Schizosaccharomyces pombe: one gene and its partners. The gene in region 2 interacts genetically with the main gene of each other region. Each region holds a gene or a part of one and is shown on either strand. Other genes may lie near its edges.

What was found.
Region 1: of rep2 (region 2) and res2, a mutation in one rescues a mutant of the other (synthetic rescue), as found in Schizosaccharomyces pombe (2 studies listed by BioGRID, with this or other methods).
Region 3: mutations in rep2 (region 2) and pas1 are lethal when combined (synthetic lethality), as found in Schizosaccharomyces pombe (one study listed by BioGRID).
Region 4: of rep2 (region 2) and res1, extra expression of one rescues a mutant of the other (dosage rescue), as found in Schizosaccharomyces pombe (3 studies listed by BioGRID, with this or other methods).

What each region holds. Positions count from the first base shown.
Region 1 is NC_003424.3:684,620-690,799, forward strand, and holds res2 (MBF transcription factor complex subunit Res2), read left to right. Parts: upstream 1-1,915; 5' UTR 1,916-1,973; coding exon 1,974-2,205; exon of another isoform or gene 2,206-2,369; coding exon 2,370-4,111; 3' UTR 4,112-4,560; downstream 4,561-6,180. Other genes in the region: glutamate-cysteine ligase Gcs1, read left to right, coding at 1-1,651; ATP-dependent RNA helicase Rok1, read left to right, coding at 4,864-6,180.
Region 2 is NC_003423.3:1,715,282-1,720,133, forward strand, and holds rep2 (transcriptional activator MBF subunit Rep2), read left to right. Parts: upstream 1-2,421; 5' UTR 2,422-2,942; coding exon 2,943-3,602; 3' UTR 3,603-4,041; downstream 4,042-4,852. Other genes in the region: cytochrome c oxidase subunit VII Cox7, read right to left, coding at 1-22, 90-155; mrpl35 (mitochondrial ribosomal protein subunit L35), read right to left, coding at 4,270-4,852. UniProt on the Schizosaccharomyces pombe protein: Transcriptional activator which interacts with the mcb binding subunit complex formed by res2 and cdc10. Rep2 is required for the mitotic cell cycle start.
Region 3 is NC_003424.3:1,359,246-1,365,411, forward strand, and holds pas1 (cyclin Pas1), read left to right. Parts: upstream 1-1,887; 5' UTR 1,888-3,325; coding exon 3,326-4,561; 3' UTR 4,562-4,929; downstream 4,930-6,166. Other genes in the region: serine/threonine protein kinase Cdr2, read left to right, coding at 5,601-6,166.
Region 4 is NC_003423.3:1,229,887-1,236,425, reverse strand, and holds res1 (MBF transcription factor complex subunit Res1), read right to left. Parts: upstream 3,841-6,539; 5' UTR 3,092-3,840; coding exon 2,866-3,091; intron 2,739-2,865; coding exon 1,051-2,738; 3' UTR 839-1,050; downstream 1-838. Other genes in the region: RNA polymerase I transcription factor subunit Rrn11, read left to right, coding at 59-415, 530-775; orotate phosphoribosyltransferase Ura5, read right to left, coding at 4,700-5,347; acetylglutamate synthase Arg6, read right to left, coding at 5,633-6,539. UniProt on the Schizosaccharomyces pombe protein: Acts as a positive regulator of the mitotic cell cycle and as a negative regulator of sexual differentiation. May be involved in the transcriptional regulation of the cdc22 and cdt1 genes. Is an integral component of the DSC1-like complex.

The DNA of each region.
Region 1 (6,180 bases), on a different chromosome or scaffold from region 2:
TGTCGAACGCATAGGAGGAAATTCAAACAAAGATACTATAGAAATTACGAGTTCCACCAAACCACATGCGCAGAACGCGGTCCCTACTTTCCATCCAGAATATGGTCGTTATATGTTGGAAAGTACACCAGGTGCGCCTTATGGTTCCACTTTAAAGGATTTTACTTTTGTAGAGTACAATATGCGATTAAGAAGAAAAATTATTGAAAACCATTTACTACCCAATGAGCTACCTTTAACAATTACTAATTTCTTTCGTCTTGGAACACCAGGCTTTACGGATCCAGAAGTCGAAGCCAATGGTGCAATTTCGCGATCTTTTTTCTTACCGGACGATGTTATCAACACACATGTTCGTTTCCCGACCTTGACTGCTAATATTCGTCAAAGGCGCGGGAGAAAAGTGGCCATGAATGTTCCGATTTTCTTCGATAAAAATACAATTAAACCATTTCACGATCCTACCGTTCCTTGGGATAGAAATTTGTTTCCTGAAGATGCAAATGCACGAGATGGTGCAGCGTTAGACAATCATATTTACATGGACAGTATGGGTTTCGGTATGGGATGCTGTTGTCTACAAATTACATTCCAAGCTAAAAGTTGTGATGAAGCTAGACTTTTATACGATCAGTTGACTCCTATTACCCCCTTGATGCTGGCATTATCTGCCGGAACTCCAGCATTTCGAGGCTATTTGGCTGATCAAGATTGTAGATGGAATGTGATTGCTGGTGCTGTCGATGATCGAACCGAGGAAGAAATGAAAACTGTGCCAAAATCAAGGTATGATTCTGTTGACTTATATATCTCGAATGACAAGCGCAATTTACCGGAATATAATGACGTCCCGGTCGTTATAAATCAAGATTGCTACGATAAGCTAATAAAAGATTGCATTGATGAAAGATTGGCTAAGCACATGGCTCACATATTCTCTCGTGATCCTTTGGTTATTTTCAGTGACAGCATTTTACAAGACAACAGTGTATCCAATGCTCATTTTGAGAACCTAAACTCAACTAACTGGCAATCTATGCGCTTTAAACCTCCTCCACCAGGTAGTGATATTGGTTGGCGTGTAGAATTTAGATCAATGGAAATTCAAATAACTGATTTTGAAAATGCGGCATATTCAATTTTTGTTGTGATGCTTTCTCGTGCAATTCTATCCTTCAATTTGAATCTGTACATGCCGATATCGCTAGTGGATGAAAACATGAAAGCTGCTCATGCTCGTGATGCCATTCATCGTAAAAAGTTTTGGTTCCGTTGCAATCCATTTCCTGACGCAAGTACTGATGATGAATCTGGTCAGTTCCGTCAACTTACAATTGACGAGTTATTTAATGGTGAGCACCGTGAAAACGGATTCCCAGGTTTAATTACCATTGTTCGAAGCTATTTATACTCTTGTAATCCTGATGCCAAAACTATTTGCCTAATTGAACGTTATATTCGCCTAATTTCTCAAAGAGCAAATGGCCAATGCTTGACTGCTGCTTCGTGGATACGCAATTTCATTACAACTCATCCTTCTTATAAGCAAGACAGCGTGGTCAACGACGAAATTAATTATGATTTAATTAGAAGAATAGCAAAAATTGTAGATGGCGACTACGACGATACGTTACTTGGAAAATGCTCATAATGCAGATGAATTCTGAGTGGAATATATATAAGATTTTTTTCTACTTAATAACATATCTAAAATTTTGGTAATTTAAATTCCTTTGCAATTCAGTATTACAAGTGTAGTTCTTTGGCAACTGAGACTTCCCATTGATTCCTTTCATTAAGTGAATACTCATTATTTAATTAGTGCTAATATATATTCAGTAACTACATAGTTGATTTTCTGTATTGCCCCACCCTTCCCTATTGTTATGTGTATACGCAGGTAGGGTGAGCGAACGCAATGCATGCACCCTTTTAAGAGTCCGCGCTACGCATTTTAACTGCCTTTTGCTGTAATGGCTCCACGTTCTTCCGCAGTACATGTTGCCGTTTATTCTGGGGTTGAAGTCTATGAATGCTTTATTAAAGGTGTCTCTGTGATGCGCAGACGCCGCGATTCCTGGTTGAATGCTACACAAATCTTGAAAGTGGCTGACTTTGACAAACCACAAAGGACAAGGGTTTTAGAAAGACAAGTACAGATTGGTGCGCATGAAAAAGTACAAGGTGGATATGGAAAATATCAGGGTAAGTTGTCTACTGTTACGCGTTGTGACATGATTTGCTATCTTTGAACAACGCGAACAATTGAGTGTTTACTAAGCCAAATCGAGGTATTTTAATACCTTTTTGTATTAAATATCTCTATGGACGCGTCCTCTAAATGATTGACGGTATTAACCAAACTATAGGAACTTGGGTTCCATTTCAGCGTGGGGTCGACCTGGCCACAAAGTATAAGGTTGACGGAATAATGAGCCCAATATTGAGTCTTGACATTGATGAGGGAAAAGCAATTGCTCCAAAGAAGAAGCAGACCAAGCAGAAAAAGCCTTCTGTACGTGGCCGTAGAGGCCGTAAACCGTCGTCACTTTCTAGTAGCACTTTGCATTCCGTCAATGAAAAACAACCGAATTCTTCTATATCACCAACAATTGAGTCATCTATGAATAAAGTGAATTTGCCTGGTGCAGAGGAGCAAGTTTCTGCAACACCTCTGCCAGCGTCTCCTAATGCACTGCTATCACCAAATGATAACACTATAAAACCTGTTGAAGAGTTAGGCATGTTGGAGGCACCGCTTGACAAATATGAAGAGTCACTACTTGACTTCTTTCTTCACCCAGAAGAGGGACGCATTCCTTCCTTCCTGTATTCGCCGCCCCCGGATTTTCAAGTTAACAGTGTTATTGATGATGATGGCCACACTTCTCTTCATTGGGCATGCTCAATGGGACATATAGAGATGATTAAGTTATTACTGAGAGCCAATGCTGACATTGGCGTGTGTAACAGACTGAGTCAAACACCATTGATGAGGAGTGTTATCTTTACCAATAATTATGACTGCCAAACTTTTGGACAAGTGCTTGAGCTTCTCCAGTCTACTATTTATGCTGTTGACACCAATGGTCAGTCAATTTTTCATCATATTGTGCAATCAACCTCAACTCCTTCAAAAGTTGCAGCGGCCAAATACTATTTGGATTGCATATTAGAGAAACTAATATCGATTCAACCATTTGAAAATGTTGTGAGATTGGTAAATCTACAAGATTCAAATGGAGATACCTCTCTATTAATTGCTGCTCGAAATGGAGCCATGGATTGTGTAAACTCTTTATTAAGTTATAACGCCAATCCTTCTATTCCTAACCGACAAAGACGTACAGCTTCCGAGTATCTTTTGGAAGCTGACAAAAAGCCACATTCATTGTTACAGTCAAACTCAAATGCTTCGCATAGTGCTTTTTCATTTTCCGGAATAAGCCCTGCTATTATCTCGCCATCATGCTCATCGCATGCTTTTGTTAAGGCAATTCCTTCAATATCTTCGAAATTTTCTCAATTAGCAGAGGAGTATGAATCTCAGCTTCGAGAAAAAGAAGAAGATTTGATTAGAGCGAATCGTCTCAAGCAAGACACGCTTAATGAAATTTCCAGAACTTATCAGGAATTGACCTTTCTGCAGAAAAATAACCCCACTTATAGTCAATCTATGGAAAACTTGATTCGAGAGGCCCAAGAAACTTACCAGCAGCTTTCGAAGAGGTTACTAATATGGTTGGAAGCACGACAAATCTTTGATTTAGAGAGAAGCCTCAAGCCACATACTTCATTATCTATTAGTTTTCCTTCCGACTTTTTAAAAAAGGAAGACGGACTTTCGTTAAATAACGATTTTAAAAAGCCGGCTTGCAACAACGTGACCAATTCTGATGAATATGAGCAATTAATTAATAAGTTAACTTCTCTCCAAGCTTCCCGCAAAAAAGATACTTTGTATATTAGAAAATTGTATGAAGAACTAGGAATTGATGATACAGTTAATAGTTACCGTCGTCTTATTGCAATGAGTTGTGGCATCAACCCTGAAGATTTGAGTTTGGAAATACTCGATGCTGTGGAAGAAGCATTAACCCGAGAAAAATGAATCTTGGAAACTTTCATTTACATCTTGTCTTAATGTTACGTTCTTTATTTAATGATACGAGTTATGATAGTTAATGATTTTATCCATGACACTCACTGTCAAACTGCATTTATCAACGTTATCATACTTTGATAGAAAAACACGAGTTATTTTATATATTATTTTCGAATGGAATCAAGTGGAAAAAACATATATTGCTCCTTCCTAACAAAACTATTATGTTACTTATTTATGCGCAGCTAAAACAATCTACTATTGTAAAATGATTTATCTCATTTACAGCGCGTGCTTCCATTCATGATTCATCCTTTTTGCATTCGCACGTTAATGATCATCTAAAGGATACCAAGTTACTGAGCTTCACTTTAATTTGAGGGTCCTGTTCAAATAGGTAAAAGAGTGATTAATACAAATAATCAATTATTTAATTGAAAGAAAATCTATAGCAGTATTTCTCGTAAATACGATATAAAAATATGTAACCTATAAACGCAGAAATCGCGTTTTTTTGAATACATTTATTATGTTTACTTAGCATACATAAATTTAATAACGCTGTTGGAATACACAATTTGAATTAACGTACTGGTTTAACTAGAGGACGTTAGTGCAGCCTTTCCCCAGCAGCTACCATACTTACTTTAGTCGTGTATATGTATAATTGAAAATTTCAACAATCTTTTATTTTTGTTCCTTCGTTGAAATATCTACTAAAATATTTTAACTTTGATAATTAAGTATTGCATAAGGAAATGGATGCGTTGAAACTTTTGACAACTAATGTCAAATTTAAGAATAAAGTACCTCAACCTTCTATAAAAGAAAAAGAAGCAAAAAAATTACAAGGTATTACTAAGGGAAAAGCTAAAGTTACTGGTAATAATCCTGTTGATCCAATTGAAGAGTTTCCGGAAGGAATACTTTGTGAAAACTTAAAAAAACAAAACATAACAGAATGTACCACAATTCAAAGATATGCCATTCCAACGATAGGTTCTAAACGAGACCTATTGGCATGTGCACCAACTGGTTCTGGAAAAACTATTGCATATCTATTCCCAATTTTGCAAAAACTTCAGTTACATGTTCCGGGTGGATATAGAGCGATTATCGTAGCGCCGACTAGAGAACTGTGCGAGCAAATATATAGACAGGCAGAAAAGCTGTCTTTTGGAACTTCATTGAAGATAATTGAATTAAGTAAATCTAATGAAAAAATTCAAGAAAAAGCGCCCAAGCTCCGGGAAAAGTATGACATGTGCATAGGCACCCCGATGAGATTAGTACAAGCAATACAAACCGGATTGTCCTTTGAAAAAGTAGAATTCTTTGTTATGGATGAAGCTGATAGACTTTTTGAGCCTGGCTTTATTGAACAAACTGATCATATTCTAAGTGCATGCACCAGCTCTAATATTTGTAAAAGCCTTTTTTCCGCTACTATTCCATCACGCGTCGAAGAGTTAGCTAAAGTCGTAACGGTTGATCCGATTCGAATCATCGTTGGTTTGAAAGATGCAGCCACGGATAGCATCGATCAGAGACTCTTGTTTGTTGGTTCGGATACTTCCAAAATTGTGATTTTGCGTCAAATGATTTCAAATGGAGAGTTAAAGCCTCGAGTCGTAATATTTGTTCAAGATATAGAAAGAGCGAAAGCATTGTACACAGAACTCTTATTTGATGAAATTCACGTTGGTGTCATTCATGGAGAATTACCACAAGCCAAGCGCGAAGAAGCACTTGCGAAATTTCGGAAGGGTGAAATTTGGGTTTTAATAGCAACAGATCTTCTTGCTCGTGGTATCGATTTTCATGGTGTAAAGATGGTCATCAACTTTGACTTTCCTCAAAGTGTTCATAGTTATATTCATCGTATCGGTCGAACTGGGCGTGCAGGAAATACAGGACAGGCCGTTACTTTTTTTACAAAGGAAGATGGTGAATATATCAAGCTTATTGCTGGTGTAATGCGTTCATCAGGTTGCGAGGTTCCAAACTGGGTTATGGCACTTCCTAAACCTAGTAAAGAAATGAAAAAGAAGTTGAAGAAGAGTCCTCCTAAAAGA
Region 2 (4,852 bases):
CAAGAGCAAAACTACCTGGTCTCTAAATATTAAACAATTAGGTTCTTTTTTCTCTTCATAATTAAAAACAAGTTTCGTTTAAAACTTACCTGCAAGTAAGTTGGTTTGTGGATGCTTTGGAGAAAGCGTTGTTGTTGAACAATAGTATTCTTCATTTTTTTCTTTTTTAATTAATAATTGTTTTAATAATTATAAAACGAACCAATAATCAAGTTAACAAGTTAAACTGTTAAAAAAATGAGGGTTAACGATAAAATGTAGGTAGGTGCGGAAAGGATTGATGGTTCCAATTAGTACATCTTGGTGCCAGAACACAGAGTCAACCTCATAAACTCACATATTTAAGTATATTAATAAGACGGTTAAGTGAAAGATATTCGTATTATTAAAAAAATGCTCCTTTATCGTTTTTGGTATGTATCATTTTAAATTAATCTTACTGAACGAGATTAACGCTAATAATATAAATTAATTGTTGTCAAATAATTTAAGGACGGAATCATTGTCAGATTGATTCTTCTTCAAAAACTAAAGCTATCTCCTTATAAGCTATTGGGGAATCTCTTTCAAACATGGTATAAATGCGTCCATGGCATACTCGGAGCAATAATAGTATAGCGATCAAAGTTAATAATGAAGATGCATTTGCTTGTACTTATATAAATTCTTATGGTTGTTGAGATAAGGGAACAATTTTATACTGAGTTACATATGTTCTATCCTTCATCAGTATTCTCTACAAACGCGAAAATTCCTTGTCCATTTAAGCAATTCGTATTACAAAGCTCTATGTTCATATTATACGAAGGACGTTGAAAGTTTTTAATTGATTCTGACAATGACTTACAGATAGAATATGATGGTTTGAGTTATTGAAAATGCTAAATCGTCTTTTCAAGTAATTGATGAACTAAAACAGTTTCTTATACATTATATTTCAGAAAGTACTTTAAAGATACTCTGCTTTCTTCCTTGTTTTTTTTTTTTTTTCTTTTTTTTTTTTTTTGGAATACTAATACCGAGAAAACTTTCGTCAAATTTTATGGGCCTAATAATAATCTTATGAAATTAAGGTGCACTTAACCGAGCTATACTTTAAAGATTACAATTATCACAACTGAACACAACATTATATTGTTGGGGTAAACCTTTAAATTTCATGCATTTGAAGAAAATTGATTGCATTAGCTTAAAATATAGCTCACTTAGTGACTGGATGATCATCATAATATTATGTCGAGTTTTGTTTATTAGTCTTCCACTGTGAGCTGTTCAAAACTAAGATTATTTAACGTATTTTCATTGGCATAGTGTTGGAGGAAGTTAAAAATAATAAGCAAAGTAACCTCTGGAAGGATAAAACTGTCTATAAAAATAGCAATTACGCTACAAAAGTTTATAGCTTTTACGGCTTTAATGCTATTCTCATTTACAGGTACTAAGACTCCTTTGGATGCTTAGTTACAGTGATAGGGCATAATTAGAATCTTCAATAAAATAGGGGTTTGAAAAACTAAACTACTTGTGAGAAAGAATTAAGCCTTACGTCTCTTTGAGTGAATTCCCTTTTCTGCTTTGTTAATCCATAATCTGCTGTATTTGACTTCAAAATACAACTTTAATTGATTTACTTTTAAAAAGTTGATTGATTGGTAAATTGAAAGTTTTTGCTGGACTTCTGCTTATTTTCACAACAATTATATTATAAAGGGTTAAGTGGTGTGCAATTGGTTTTTAAGAGTTTGAAGCAAGCTCCATGTTAATTCTAATTAAAATAAAATAGAGTGATTAATTTTAAATGGAACGGAGCAATGCTAAGCTAAATATTGAAGATTGGGTCTCGTTAAGAAAGGTTTGTGGTGCAATTTGTTTACAAGGCTTTAATGTGATAAACGGTTGACGAATGAATGAAACCAAATGGAAAACAACTTCCAAAATATTTAATAAATTTTTTAAAATTTGTTTCGCTACGATAGTCAATGAATTGACCCAATGCAGGAGAAATTTGTTGTTTCAGTAGCATTTCTGGATTTCGAGAAACAGATACATTTTAATTAATTTAATGTGTCGCCTTATTTTTTTAAACATGTAAATGACTTTTTTTCTTATGCATATTCTTTTTTTGAGAAGTTATCAATGTTTTAATTAAGTATGGTTGCTATGAGGCATGTAAACAAATGGCAACCAATTCATGTGGTAGGTGAGCAACTTGGTAATAGAAAAAAAAGTACGGTGCAAGGATATGGTAACAGTTGAGTAGCTTAAAATGTAAAAAACAACTTAAGTAACTTTTGTTTTGTTTTAATCCGTAGGATTTTATTCTCTCGGTTACTTAGCAGCCATCACATTAGTAACATACTTGTTACCTTTACCCACTGTACTTCTTATTTTCTCACCTTCTTTTCCTTGGTTCCATTTCTCGACCACTATCTCTTTCCCATTTTATCGCAAACTTATTTTTCAATACTACTTTGTGAACTACATTAAGCCTTTTGCTTTCGTTCTTCTTAGTAGTGCTTCTCTCTCTTCGGACATTGATCACTCGTTTTTTGGAAGTTCGATTTTGCGGGAAAGTTGAGATACACCATTTAATAAAGAGACTATTTGATTAATATTATAGTCAATTTTCGATCAATTCTGTGTTTTTTGTCCATTTCGCACCCACTTTTCCGTTGGTTTGTGAGACTATAGCTTTAAAAGTGAACATCTGTGTAACAGGAGTGATTGAAACTATCGTTTTTGGTTTTGATTATTTGTTTTTCTTTCCTTTCAATTTTGTTTTTTTGTGTTTAATTCGCACTTTTTGGAAGCTTCTGCTAGCTGTGTTCATCGCCCTTATCAGAAGCCTTAATCTTTTCGTTTGTTGGATTTAATTATTTATTTTGCTCGAACAATAGTAATCGTGGTATCCTGTCTCCTCTCTTTGACTAAAATCCAAAGCCATGCATTTTGCAGACATTCCTCTTAGCAAGCCATGTCTGAACAACCCCCCAACATATCCATGGTCATCCCCAATTTTATCCAGTATTGCTAATCCTTCACTATGTGATATTGTATCTTCTCCATCATCTGTTTCTTCCTTTGCTTCCTCGGATGATTTTGCATTCATGAACGCATATTGTCTGCCCATACAACAAAACCACCAATTTGGTAGTCCAGTTGCTGCTTCGCCAAACCAACAACCGCTCGTAGAAAGCCAAAATCGCCGGAATGTCACTTATGCTTCTTTAGTCATAGGAAAACTTGGAATTGCTCAACTCATTCGTCAACAAACTGATCCTCCTCAAATTATCCATAGAAAGCAAGACAAGGGCTTAATGGCAAGGGTCTTGTCTAGATCCAAGAAGCAAGAGGAGAGAGAGAATCACTCTTCTGATGCTCGTGATGCTATTAAATCTGCCCTTCGAAGGAGAATGCGCCGTCGTGAAGGCCGTGTTCAAAAGGCTTTAAGGCCCACCCCTAACTTAATTTGCTCAAAATGCAATACCACGTTCAACCATTCAACGGCTCTTATGATGCATGAAGCAACCTGCTTGAATCAAGTTCCCTTTAAGCTTTCGGACTTTTTTGTTGAGGACGTGATAGATGACTGGCTCTTTTAATATTTCCGTTCATACAAAGAAGCAGCTTTCGTATCTAGTAGCATTACGGATATGTAATAATTATCGCTTATTAATGACGCTGGTTATATAAAGCGTATTAAAATTTTGCTCAGTCGTTTTACTCTTGAGAGCTTCATCACTTCTTTTAGAGAAGTTATTTTGAGATCATAGTATAATTTACTACATCAATTAGGTAATCAAGAAATATAGTTTGAAATGATAGAAGACTGCTCTTATAACCTTGTTTTAGGAAACGATCATCTATGCACTTTTTTCTATGTTTTGCTATCAAATATCACTATTACAGACACTATCTTTTTATTTTCGCGAAAGCTATAATGAAATATATTACAATACAGCTCACACTTCATCTAGATTGAGCAAACATACTGTAAAGAGGAAACACCAGTTCTAAAGTTACAACTGACTTTAGTTTAAGGCATAGGATAGGCATTTTATTCACAGATTTGCAATTGATTTAATAAGAGGAAAGTAAAATAGGACTATGGAACAAGGCTATCGTCTTAAAAAAACCTAAGAAGGGAAATCATGTAAAAGATAAACTATTTTGACACGAGAGGAGGGAAGCAATGCATGCTAATGTTTTGAAACATGGAATGAAAAAATGACTTATAAAAACAATATTTTAGGGGCTCTTTTAGTAGTTTCATGCAGGGATACGTTCTACACGGATATCTCGATATTCGTGTACAGACGGGTGCTTGGATAATAATGCAACTGCGTCCGAATCCCAGCCACTTCTCCAAAGATGAGCGCCAACAGGTTCAAGATCATAGATTGAGCAAAACTCAGAGAGGTCAAATCGTTCGCGGACAAGTGCATTAGAAGGAATACTAATACTAGATGACTTTTGCCGCAAAACAAGGGTTAAGATACGGTGTTTATCTTCTCCACGGTGAACAATAGGAGGCCGATATTGAAAGAAAGCTTTAGAAGTATCAATGGGCACACGTTTGGATGCTTCAATGGGGATATTCGTTAAAAGCCAGTTGCAATGAGTCTCAAACCGGTTTGTTTCGTAATTCGGGACATCCAAATCTAGTGTTATAACTGAATAATGATTCTTTTTACAATTAAAGGGTAAAACTGATAGCCACGGGGTCTTTACAGTAACCGTACTTGGCAAGATAGTGCCAGGAGTGATAGAATCATTATTTTCGGGGTTAAATCCTAACTGTACGTCGACAGATGGCGAAAATGAGCCAATCCCAGAGTCCTTTATTACTTTC
Region 3 (6,166 bases), on a different chromosome or scaffold from region 2:
TTTATGTTTGCGTTTTCGTTGAACCAGCGCAGTACAGAAATACAGAAAGAATTGGGAAGTACAATAACAGCTGGGATGTGGGATGTGGGATTTAATGGTAGGCAGGATAGGGTAAGCAATGCTGGGACAAAGAGAAAGAGGTGAGGGGGGTGAAAAAGTTTTGTGAAAGAAAGGATTGTTTATGCTACGGTTGGAGAAGAGAGGCGAGGGGAAGTGAGGATGGCTTGGATGTAGTAAGGATAATAGGAAATTAGAAATAAAAAAAAAAAAAAATTTGGATATGATACATAAATGGTAAAAAATAAATAATAAATTAATAATCATAAATTAAAGAAAGAAAAAAAAAAGTAAAGAAAGCAACGGTGAAAGTAGTTGAGGAAACTCAAAGAAAACAAAATAAACCATAAGAAGAGGAAAAGTGTTCAATCGTAATAAGAAAAAAAGAAATCAAAATATATTTAATGAAATTATAATAGCAATAAAATAAAGATTATACTAAATTCATGAATGATAATAAATAATAAACAGAAAAATTTAAAGGGCAAAAAAGTAAATTATAAAAATTAAATTAATTATAAGGTAAAATAATTTAAAAATTTTAAAGTACAATAATAAAAATTCGAAATATTTGTTTATTCAATAAACTAATGGAGAGATTTTCCATATTCAAAGTTTTGTTTCATTACTAATTTATAAAATGATACTTTTACTTTTGATTTATTTTATAAATTTTATTTTTTGCTTTTGATTTAATGTATTAATTTTATTTTACTTTTATTTTTTCACTCTTCAAATTCTTAACCATTCGCGTCTTTTCATCGCATCGCCCATCATATTTCCTGCCCAACAACTGTATTCATCAATAATATCGCTACTTTCATCCTACATCTTTGCCTTCGCAAGTTGCGCAAGCTTGCTCGCCATTTCGAGTGCTGATGGAATCAGCGATATCGATGGAGTTAGCGATGCCATCACAGAAATTGCAATTTTACACATCACAAAGTAAAACAATTAGCAATTCTTTCAAAATATCCATCCACTCCGCTTAAAGAAATCATTTCATCTTCATACCACCCCATTATCCCACCTTCTCTGATGGATAGTGGAATCCGCCTTGAATGTCTCTCTCTCTTACTATTACTTGCTTGGCATCTGAGCTGAGCCAATCCAATGTCGCTTAAAGCAGCCCAAAACTTGGGTAACATAGCGAAGAAACGCAAAGAAAAAAAAATTTCTTATGAGGAATCAGAATCTATCGGAGCCATGAATCATGGACACCACTTTCATATTTTTGGAACAAAGCAAGAAAACCTCTAGAATAGATTGGAAGCAAATTGATCCAACTACCACATGTCCTTCATATCCCCCCCCAAACATCATTCATCTATCCCTATGAGCCTCCTTCCTCAAATCCTTTTCCGCATTGCCTTCCCCTTCGCTATACCTAGACATTACAGAATTTATCCATCCCAATCTTCCGCCCCCTCCCAATTTTCAACTGCTAAACCTTGCTCTGATCCAATTTTTCCATTGTTGAGGCCTTTCTGGATGCAGCTTTCCAAACCTTTCAACGTCCCGGCTTGACTTAACTTCCACGTCTTATCATTCACAAAATCGGCAGTCCAAGACGCCAACTTTACCGACGCGTTTTACCCCATTGAAATTATGGATGTTTGCTTTACGCAGTGGTGTGAAATCACGGTGGACTAACGTTTGATGTGCAAAGGATCTCGTTGTTGCAGATAGTGTTACCTGCCACTCTCGGTAACAAATGTGGTTGACAAGCCGCGACTGATGTTTATCTCATATAATCATAGATCTGCCACAATCACCTTTTTTTTCCATTCTTTGCATATATAACATCAGTCATCTCTCCTAAGAAGAGCCGGTCGTCCCTCTGCTAAGCAACCATACAAAACATAACGTTCATCCTTTCTTTTTTGTTACATTCGTCTTCCTTTCTTCAGCCTAGATAGAATTGGTTTGGTGTTTGTGCTATTCTCAATTTTCCTCGTTTTGGATTGTGTTTTTCTTGTTTTGTTTGGGAATCATCATTCATCCATTAACATCTTCTTTACTTTTTTTTTTCATCGTTCATCGAATCCTACTTCCTCTTGACACATAATTAGTCTGCTGGTTTCTTTCTTCCTTCCTTTAAACATTTTGTGAAGAATCTCGTAACCTACCATTCGGTGCTGCTGTATTATAAATCTAATCTATTTGATTCGCTACGGATCTTTCTCACCTTAGACCTTTACTACCTGAAGGGTTCTTTTCTTCTTCTTTAATTCTTTGTCACGATATATTATAACTTTTCATTTTCTTTTTATTTTATTTTATTCTATTTGCTTGTCTGGGTTTAGGTGCTTTGTGTTCTCTTTCTTCTATTCTTTTTTTCATTGTTCCAACTACTCTGCTGACTGCAATATCACGCCTCTTTGAATTCTCGGGAAAAGGCTTATCTACTTTTCCTTTGTTTCATTCGTCTGCTGTCGCCCTGTAGCTTTAACGTTTTCTAACTCCGTCGCTGGTTTCGTCGATTAACTTTGGGTTTCGCATACGGTTTCGTGTAATTTCAAACATTTATTTATTATTTATTTATCTATCTGTCGGTCTGTTTTCTTTGCTTATTTTCCGCATTCATCTTAGCTTATATTTCAATCGTTGAATCCCATCCCTTGCTTCATTCGTTTTTCTCTTCTGCCAACAAATTCTTCTAGAGATTGCATCTTTTATCGTCGTTAAGGAGATTGGTTAAGTAGTTTCCCTCTCATTTTTTCAATCTCTCCTTTCTAGCTTATTTTGGGTTTTTACACAGTTCAAGTTTTCCTTTTATCTGCCTGGTCCCCAAAATCTCGGTTTTGCTTTATTTTCTTTCTTCAAATTCGACTTTGTGCGCTTGAAGATTCGATTTCAAGCAATCATTATTATTTCTTACACTCTTTCTTTGGATGACTATTTTCGCCAACACATCTATCTCTTCATTTTTGCAACTTTTTAGGCTTACTAAGCTTCTTTTTCTTGTATAATAATATTAACTGATTTTGGGTACGTGTCTTCAACATGGCATACCTTTAGAGATTTCTGTTTTTTTCCAGTTAGGAGCACTGTTTAGTCAATCTACTCGTTCTCCTCATTGTGTTCGTCTTCCAATTTTTGTCATCCATTTTTACTTTTCTACTAAATTTTCGTCGAAAGCTTTCATTGTTAGCTTTTTTCCCTTTCATAAACTCGTATTTTCTTCTCTTTGAGAAAAAGCTTGCTAAAAGTTTTCATTTTTCTCCAACAGCTGCTTAAAATTTCATCTTAGATATTTCTCTACACGATGTCGAAAGTTAACATGCGAGCTTTGCTCGAGTCCTTTAGTACCGTGATTCTTTCTATCTACCCCTTGGCTAAAAGTACAAATCAACAATCACATTCGCACTCCCTTTCACTTACTCAGTTTTTGTATGAAACGATTCGCAGAAGTCGTGTCGATTACACTACGTTGCTTCTTGCTTTATATTACTTCATCCGTTTTCGTGATGCTGCTTCTTCTAAGCCTACTAACTACATTCCTCTGTTATGTGGGCGTCGTCTTTTCTTAGTCTGCTTGATGGCCGCTACAAAATTTTTACAGGATCGTAGTTTTAGCAATCGTGCTTGGTCTCGCCTATCAGGACTTCCAGTTGACAAATTACTTGTTTTGGAATATATGTTTTACCAATGCATCGATTATCGTCTTGTCGTTCCTAAACATATTTTTGCTAGATGGTCTCTTTTAGTTGGTGAATGTTGTGCTCACGCGACTGCACGTTATGATTCCACCGATCCTAATGTTGCCTCATTTGGCAGCGTCGCACAATATTGGGTCTCTTTGTTTTCTAATGTTCAATCTTCTCTAGATGATCTTTTTTCCATTGCCTGTTTAACGAAGATAGCACATCGCAGAATGAATGCTAATGCTGCTTTGAAGAATCAGGCTACGAGGAAGCCCTCCTCTTCTCCTCAAACAACTCAAGACTCATCACCTATTCTTACGATGGCACCTTCTACTCCAGTATCTGTTGGCAGTACCCCTCCATCCACTCCATCTGTTTTACCCATTGCCAAACAACTGGCTCCTATGAATGTCTGTAAAGCACATATTCAGGCTTCAAATCAGTCCCGCACTTTGACTACTGCTTCGCCACCCGAACAAATACCGCTTATGGAACCGCAAGTTTATGTAAATCCTCAAGTATTACCGGGTCGGTTGTCAAGCCTTTCTAAGCCAGTTAGTCTACCACCAACTCCTTCTTCACCAAAGGTTGGAGTATATCGGCCAATGACTTCTAAGTCCAATGGAGGTGTTGCTTACTGCTATAATGCTCAAAAATTGAACAATGCTACTGGTCCAGTTACATTTAATATGCCTTTTGCAAGCGTCTTACCACTTGCCGTATCTGTGAGTTGTGATCTGGGTACAGCGTCTGCATATGTCGCGTCCCTCCCTCAACCTTGTTCTCAAAAAAGGCATTTAGAAGAAGACTACTCATGTTTAACGGAACACAGTGCTAAGCGTCGCAGTTACTTTTAATTATCAAGCCCAATCTGCGCTGTCTTCGCCGCTTCTTTCAAAAACTATAATATTTAATGAATAATTTCATAATACTGATGCCATTTTAACAGCGGATGTCAATAAATACCGATAATGTTTTCTTTCTATTGATTTATCTATTCAAATTGTGTGGAAGATAATCATGATATGGGAAACTTGATTAGGTTTATATTACTACCTTCTTTTCATATCTAGACTTGTCAATGTTTTGATTAAAAATCAAATATTGTTGTCGTTTCTATGAATCTTTTTTTAACATTCTAATAGCAAAACGATGTATATATGGTATGAATGAATTAACGATTGGCAACTATATTTACTTATGCATCTTGTAAATTGATATCAGTAGAGCAAGGTATTCAAAAAAGATAATTTTGTTGATTTCTTATGGCCATAAACTTGTCAAATAGTCAAACTATTTAGAGATTATGTATGTGCTCATTAAGATAGTTATATATTTTAGGCAGGTGAATGTAGCCATTTGAAATCTACTACTGAGCTCCAATCCTATTTGAAGGCTCTAAGAGTCCTTTCAATCATTTTTTAACAGAGTTGTCTAAGTAATATTTTTTCAACGATTAAACTGTGAAACATTGAACTAAAATATCTTGATCATTTACAAAAGCAGTAATTGCTACACCGTACTACTAGTAGAGCCAATTTTGATTACGGTCTTTAAAACAATGTTGAATACACTAATTGTAAGCGATTTTTGTAAAAACTAATAATTATACGTATCTTCTTGAACATCACGAAAATTAACTGATATTTCCCTAAAGTACAGTTGCAAGTAGGAAGGATTAAGACAAAACAACAAATTATATACTAAAAATTTTACAAATGTTAAAATCAATTTCACATATATATTTTGTTGTAATTAAATGCACTCAAATACTATAGCTTACAAGTTTAGGGAGCATTACGGAGAACATCCCACATATGCTGTTCTATGAATGGGGTTTGGATTTGGCCATCACCACTTCACCGATTTACTGGTTCTTTTGAATAGTTGAAGTGTATGAGTACAATTTCAGAAGTTGGACCTTGGGAGCTTGGTCTTTCCTTAGGATCAGGAGGACCAAATTCATCACGTTTAGCCAAACATCGTGAAACTGGGCAATTAGCCGTAGTAAAACCGATTGTAGGATGGTCCGAGCTTACTTCGAGCCAACAGGCTAGGATAGAGGGTGAATTAGTTTTGCTTCGATTGATCGAGCATCCTAATGTTTTGCAGCTCATAGATGTGATTTCAGCCCAGGAGCAACTCTTTGTCGTAGTCGAATATATGCCAGGTGGTGAGCTTTTTGACTGCATGCTTCGTAAAGGAAGTTTTACTGAGCAAGATACGGCAAAGTTTCTATGGCAGATTTTGTGTGGATTGGAGTATTGTCATAAACTTCATATCTGCCACCGGGATTTAAAGCCAGAGAACTTATACTTGGATGCCCATGGTTCTATCAAAATCGGTGAATTCGGTATGGCGTCTATTCAACAGCCAGGAAAGCTTTTGCAGACTTCCTGCGGGTCTCCCCATTACGCATCCCCAGAAATTATTATGGGGCGTTCATATGATGGTTGTGCTAG
Region 4 (6,539 bases), 490 kb from region 2:
TAGATCAACTATGCTTTGTTTAAATAAGTAATACTTATAGCTTGATTCTGTTATAATCATGTTCTCTCCTTGTACCGTTAAAGAAAAACGTTCAACTTTGCGAAGTGTCGCTCCCAACCCGGAATCTTCTGTTATACCTCCAATTCCTTTACCATCAAGAAGGTATAAAACAAGACATATTGATGCACTTTGTTCGTTGATGCACCTTTGCTTATTGCGCAAAGATTACCCAAGGGCATCTAGGGCTTTTTCATTACTGTTGAGATCTAAGAGTGTTGACATTTCCAAATTATGGAACATTGGACTTGAAATTTTGAACAAAGTTAATCCAGAAGCTTCATCAGAGTATATGGAGCGACTAATAGCTCGATATCCTGCGCGTCCATCCATTAACAACTCTTATCCGAATCGTAATGTAAGTGTATACTGGTACAAAACGTCTATACTTTCATCTTTTCGTGTATTGAATTTTTTGTCCCTTCTTATTTGAAATCAATCATATGTCGCAATTCTATACTAACATTTACAGGCAGAACATTTTTTTCCAGCATATATCATGCTACTTATTCAGCGCCAAGAATACAATAAAGCTATGAAGTTGCTTGATGAGTATTTGCTGTTACCACCCTACAATCAGAATCCTGCATTGCATGAGTATTCCGGAATGTTGTGTTTTGAACTTGCCAAGGAGGAAGCTTCAGAATCTGAGCGAACTAAATGGATTGAAAAGGCGAAATACAACTTTTCAAACGCAGGAATTGACGTCGAATTGTAGATTTAACATTCCCATGGCATTTCAAAAAGCACATTAGTATATTTAATATTTTAGATTGACCATCAGAAAAATTATGTATATTAGCAAATAATAAGATGGGAAGATACATTTAAATTTAAATTTAAAACTAATCATTAGATAGCCAACGACTGTATAAAAAGATTGTTAAATATCTATAAGTTCAAGTTGGTATTTATATAAAAAACATAAAGAATGCAAAAAATAAGATAACGAAAGAAAAAATTATTTTGAATAATAATTTAAAACCAAAAAAATTAAGATCCACTTTGATCTGTATTAATCGTATTATACATTCCCATAGAAAGCAAGTTCAAAATTTCGTTAATTTTCTGTTTCCGTTGCGCTTGCAATGAGCATAATTGCTCAACGAGCTTTTCACGAGCAGCTTCGTTTTCAGCTGTAAAAAGATCAACTTCGTGTTTTGAGCTTAAAGACGAACGGTTCGTTTTAGTATCATGACCAACAAGGTTTTTGGTCTCCGAGATATCAGCTAACTCATCAGTACTCCATATTTGAGAAAAGTAAGTTACGTATTTTTTTAATTGATGAAGCTGAACTGTTTCAAGGTAATATCTAGCAGTTTTCAATGTATGCAGAAATTTTTTACACTGGTGAATCAAATCCTCCCGCTGATTTACCAAGTAGTTCTCGTCATTATTGGTACGTTCATTCCATAATCTTTGGCAAGTTTCAGTTTCCCGAACTGTTTGCTCCAACGCCTCCATTGCCAAATTATAGGTTAGTTGTTTTTCAGCAAGAGATGCTTCATGGCATTTTGAAAGTTCGCTCAGCTGAGTGAAGACATTGGGAAGGGTTTGGTGAGTAAGTTTATTAGAAAAGTAAGAAATAGGTTTTTTGGACGATAAGTGGTCATCAAGTGATTGCGGATATTTTAAGTTATCTATCAAATTATCCTCGATTTTGGAATTTAAGGGGGAATCATCATTTTCGGGAAAAGACATGTCTTTCGAAGACAAAAAATCTGTTGGGTATTGGCCCTGATTATTTGGTATGGAGGATGATGCATAAAAGGATAATAATAATCTCGCGCATTTCTTTGCACCATTTCTAGCGCAGATCAAAAGAGCGGTATCCCCATGATCATCCTGAAGGTTTATAATTTGGGCAGCGACATCAACGGATTGTGTTGCAGTTAAATTTTGCAATAAGATATCCATATAATAACGAGCGGCTTCCATCTTTGATTTAGAAGAAGCTAATAATGCGATGTGGTGAAAGACGGTTTGGCCAAAAGAGTCGTTCATGCAGATAGCAGATTGAAGCAACTCCGAAACTACCTCAAAAGTCTGTAAATCATAGTTCATGGTAAACATTACACAGCGCATCAAAGATGTTTGTTGAAGGTAATTGACAGCAACTACGTTGGCGCCTGCTTGCAATAGTGCATGCATCATTTCCAAATTTCCCATTGCAGCAGCCCAATGAAGTGCTGTATGACCATCCTCATCAATGCCAGCATTAACATCCCAATCTGATGGCCGATCATATACGAAATCAGGAGGTTGTGTAGTATTTGGTAATAAAAAGTAATCCAAGAGAGACTGCGCATAATTGTTTGAAGAAAACGGAGAAGCTTTGATATCGTGCAAAGATCCCGTAAAGGAATCAGAAGGCATATCGGGAGAGCGCGTGAAATCAGATTGAAGAGACAAAGCATCATGGATTCCTGACATTCTAGAAGTAGATGTCATATTATTGGAAGATGTGTAAGGGTAGAGTAAAGAATGCGAAGGCCGGGAAAATGACTTTTTTACTGGACTGTTTCGTCGATATGCTTCTGTAGGCTTACGATTGCTCTGAGGAGTGAACGTAGACATTGGCATGAACGCAGAGCCAGAGTATTCAATCAGAGGTTGTATTAAATCAAAAACATTATATTCATGAGCAAGTTCAACAGCTCTTTCAGAGGGTACCCAAGTTCCTGAATGAATAGTTAGTAACAGGCATCCAAAAAAGTATAAATTGATAAATAAAAACAACAGAGACAAAAATTTTATGTTATTTAAGTAGTTTTAAACCTATTGATATAGTAAGAAGTTAACACAAACCTTGATATTTTCCACAACCACCTTGAATTTTTTCATGAAGTCCCTTTTGAGCGAATTTCTCCAGAATCCTTGTCCTCCTGGGTTTATCGAGCTCTGCAATTTTAAGGATTTGCGTGGCATTAAGCCAGTTATCATGACAACGTTTCATTAAAGGAAAGCCATTGATCGTATACTCAAATACTTCCACTCCTGAATAGGTGATTTTATGTATTTGGTCGTTATACATAACGGCACTATTGGCAAGCAATTTAAAAAAAAGGAAGGAAGGAAGAGCTTCAAAACTTGATGCAATAACAACGTTTCGTCTCTCTAAATGTTTGTAATAATTTAATGTCTCAACTCCACAGCGCCAGCTATTAATATCATATAAAAAAAAAAACGAAGCAAATGAGAAAGAAGAAGCAAATTGAAATTTCCTCTACAAAATATCGATAGTTTTTGAAAACCGAGTATTTATAGCAGATAAAGTCGGAAATACATATGATACTAACTGCATGCACTAAAGAAAGGATATATTCTCTCAGCGGCGTTTGCCTCAAAGATTTTTTCAATTAAAAAGTATTTAACTCTATGTTTTGAGTTAAAAACAGATGTTTTTAAAGACCTCTGCTATCCCTAAAAATCCACGTATCTTACCAGCTGATGTAAGATACTCAACTACCAAGAACTTTAATATGTAAGGACAGAAACCTTTCGAAACTTTCCAGATCACGATTTGTATAATTTAAATCAAAAAGCTGTAGATTTGGGTTTATCGACTACGGAGCCGATTTAGTCCGGATTTTTTCAACAGCGAGATCTCAGAAAAATCGAAAAACACTGCTTCTTACTCACCAAAAAAATCCCTAAAATCACAGTAAAGTGCTTCAGGAAATGCGGATCCTTTTTTTGATAAAAAGGAAATTTGCTTGCTTTTTTAAGATCTCACACAAACAGAACTAAATCTTTCACCCTCTCTTATGGTGAGTTAGTGGTAAACGATAAATACTTGAAGGTTACATATTAGTAACTCAATTATTGTACCATTCGATTCCACTATGTTAAACCAATTGTATTACATAAATGATAAAGAATTTCATTGTTCAACTCGAGTTTTTCTAATAAACCATTTTTATTTATAGACTGCAGTGACTACTTATTCAAATTCACATTGAATATGAGAATAAAAACATTCCAAAATTTCTTAACATTTTCTTGTCATAATAAAAAGTTAATCACCAGGCTTCTGTTTAAAGGTTTTACCATTATTTAATATTTGGTATTTCAAACACAGAGCATAAATACCCGTCGCAGAATTGAAAAATAAAATCCTAAATTTTTTATAATTGCCCATTATATGCGTCTTTCGAACGTAAATAATCATCACTAAAAACCAAATCCTACAAATTTTTACAAAAATAATACACAAATACCATTTTGTGAAACATTAATTATCCCTCAACTCAATATTTTGGTAGCTTCATTCCTAACTGTCATCTTGGAAAGATTCGAATAACACAAAAGAAGAAACAAACACAAAAAAAACAGATTCACGGAACTAATCAAAAGATAGATGGATATGTGCAAAACAAAAGCTTAACAAGTAAACCAATTTCCTTCGTCTATTATAGAGAAATTTTTGAATACCGCTAAATGCAATCGCTTTATAGAAAATTCCTTCTAATATGAGTTGTATCTATCACCACAAATATACAGATAAAAAAATTCTATAACATATGTAAATACCAACTAACTTCACTCTCTTTAAAAAAGCAAAGCTAAAAACCAAAAAAGATACTTATCCAATTATTCTCTTTCCTCCTTCCAAATTTTTAAAAGAAACATTACCATAAGCTCATTTGGCTTGGTACTGCTGTCTGTAAGCATCCATTGCCTTTGATTCAGCTGCAGTTAAGTCTGATTTGGTAAAGTCAACAATGTCGTCCAAAGTAAGGATGGAGGAAACGGGTAAGTTAAGCTCCTTCTTCAATCTACCAATGGTACTTTCGTTTACTTCGGGGTCCAGTCGCTCTTGGCGGTCAAGCAAAAGGACGATACCAGCCAATTTTACGTGCTTAGGTTCTAAGAAGGAAATTGCTTCACGAATGGCAGTTCCAGCGGTAATAACATCATCCAAAAGTAAAACCTTTTTACCTTCCATTTCGGCGCCTACAAGGTTACCTCCTTCACCATGGGACTTGGCCTCTTTGCGGTTATAGGCAAATCCATAGCTCTTTCCAGTTTTTTCATAAAGTTTGACGGCCGTTATAGCAGCCAAAGAGATACCCTTATAAGCAGGACCAAATATGACATCAAAATCAACGTTCATAGCGATAATAGTCTCGGCATAGGCTTCTGCAAGAGCGCATAAATCGGCACCATGAGTGAAATTACCAGAATTGAAGAAGTATGGAGATTTTCTGCCTGATTTTAAGGTGAAAGTTCCAAACTTCAAAACATTATGTTCTAAGGCACGACGCAACAACTCAAGTTTATAAGACATGTTTACTACTAGTTTTGTTGATAAACGTTGATACTCACAAAAGAAAAAAGCTAGTATCACCTTTTCTAAGCTCTACATGGGGGTTATGTGGGGGAATAAACAAAAATCATAACTAAAGAAAAATGCAAGTTTGTAGGCAAACTACTCAATCTATAATCTAATGTGCAAAAGAGAATTAATGTCCTATCAAAATGGACTTTTTTCCTTTTATTAAAAAGTTTGACAAGTGCTTTTGAAGAAGCGAAATAATCTTGTCTCTGATAAAGTGCAATCGTTAACTTCCACTCAATTCAACCATGTTGGCTGAATTTTATCAATAACGCTCATATACTGGTTCACTCGATCCAAATTTCTGACATGTGAGTCTCCAGTCCAGAAAAGTTTCCAAGGTGTTTTGCTTGACTTTAAGGAGCCTACACTTCTTTCAAAGTACCATTTATTGACTGGATTAGTCAGGCGAGAGCGCCATATCAACTCTTTGGGAAATAAATCAGTCATAACATTAAACATAACATCAGATATTGCTGCTGAACCCTGGGCTCCTTGTGAGACGGCAAGCTTATCAAGATAAGGGACCTTTTCATTCGTTGTTCCATCTGGTTGTTCATAAGTTACAATGGCTGTCCCTAAATAGTCCCCTGCAATAATGACTGCAGCTAGCGAATTCTTCAACCTATCTAAATATGCGTCCATATCAAGCGTTCGCTTAAAGGAGTCATTAATTAAAACCCAAAGCCTTTCCCACGAAACGGAGCCATCAGTTAGACATTTCGGACCTAGGAATGTATATACCGGTACACCGCTACGCAAAACAGTTGTTTTCGTAATAGGAGATCGATCGCGCGGCAAGGAACATGAAATAATAGAGCGATCCGTCAAAACATTGTGAATTAACGGATTTTTGTCTAAGACAGGATTTGTAAGCATAGCATCCTCAGGCGTAGTGATTAGAGCAGAGGCATCATCCGGTAACATTTTCAAACAGCGTCTTACCAAAATCAAATTTTTTCTATGATAAGGTGGAAGTGTTTTCGCTAACTCGTCAAACTCTTGAGCCAGATTGATGAGAACATGACTAGAACCAGTTTGTCGTTTAGAACATGGCATGCCACCATTTTTATCAAGAATGACGATTCGGTCTACCCAAAACCCAAAGTTTGGCTTGTGTAACGAGTAAGTTAAACCAGCAAGA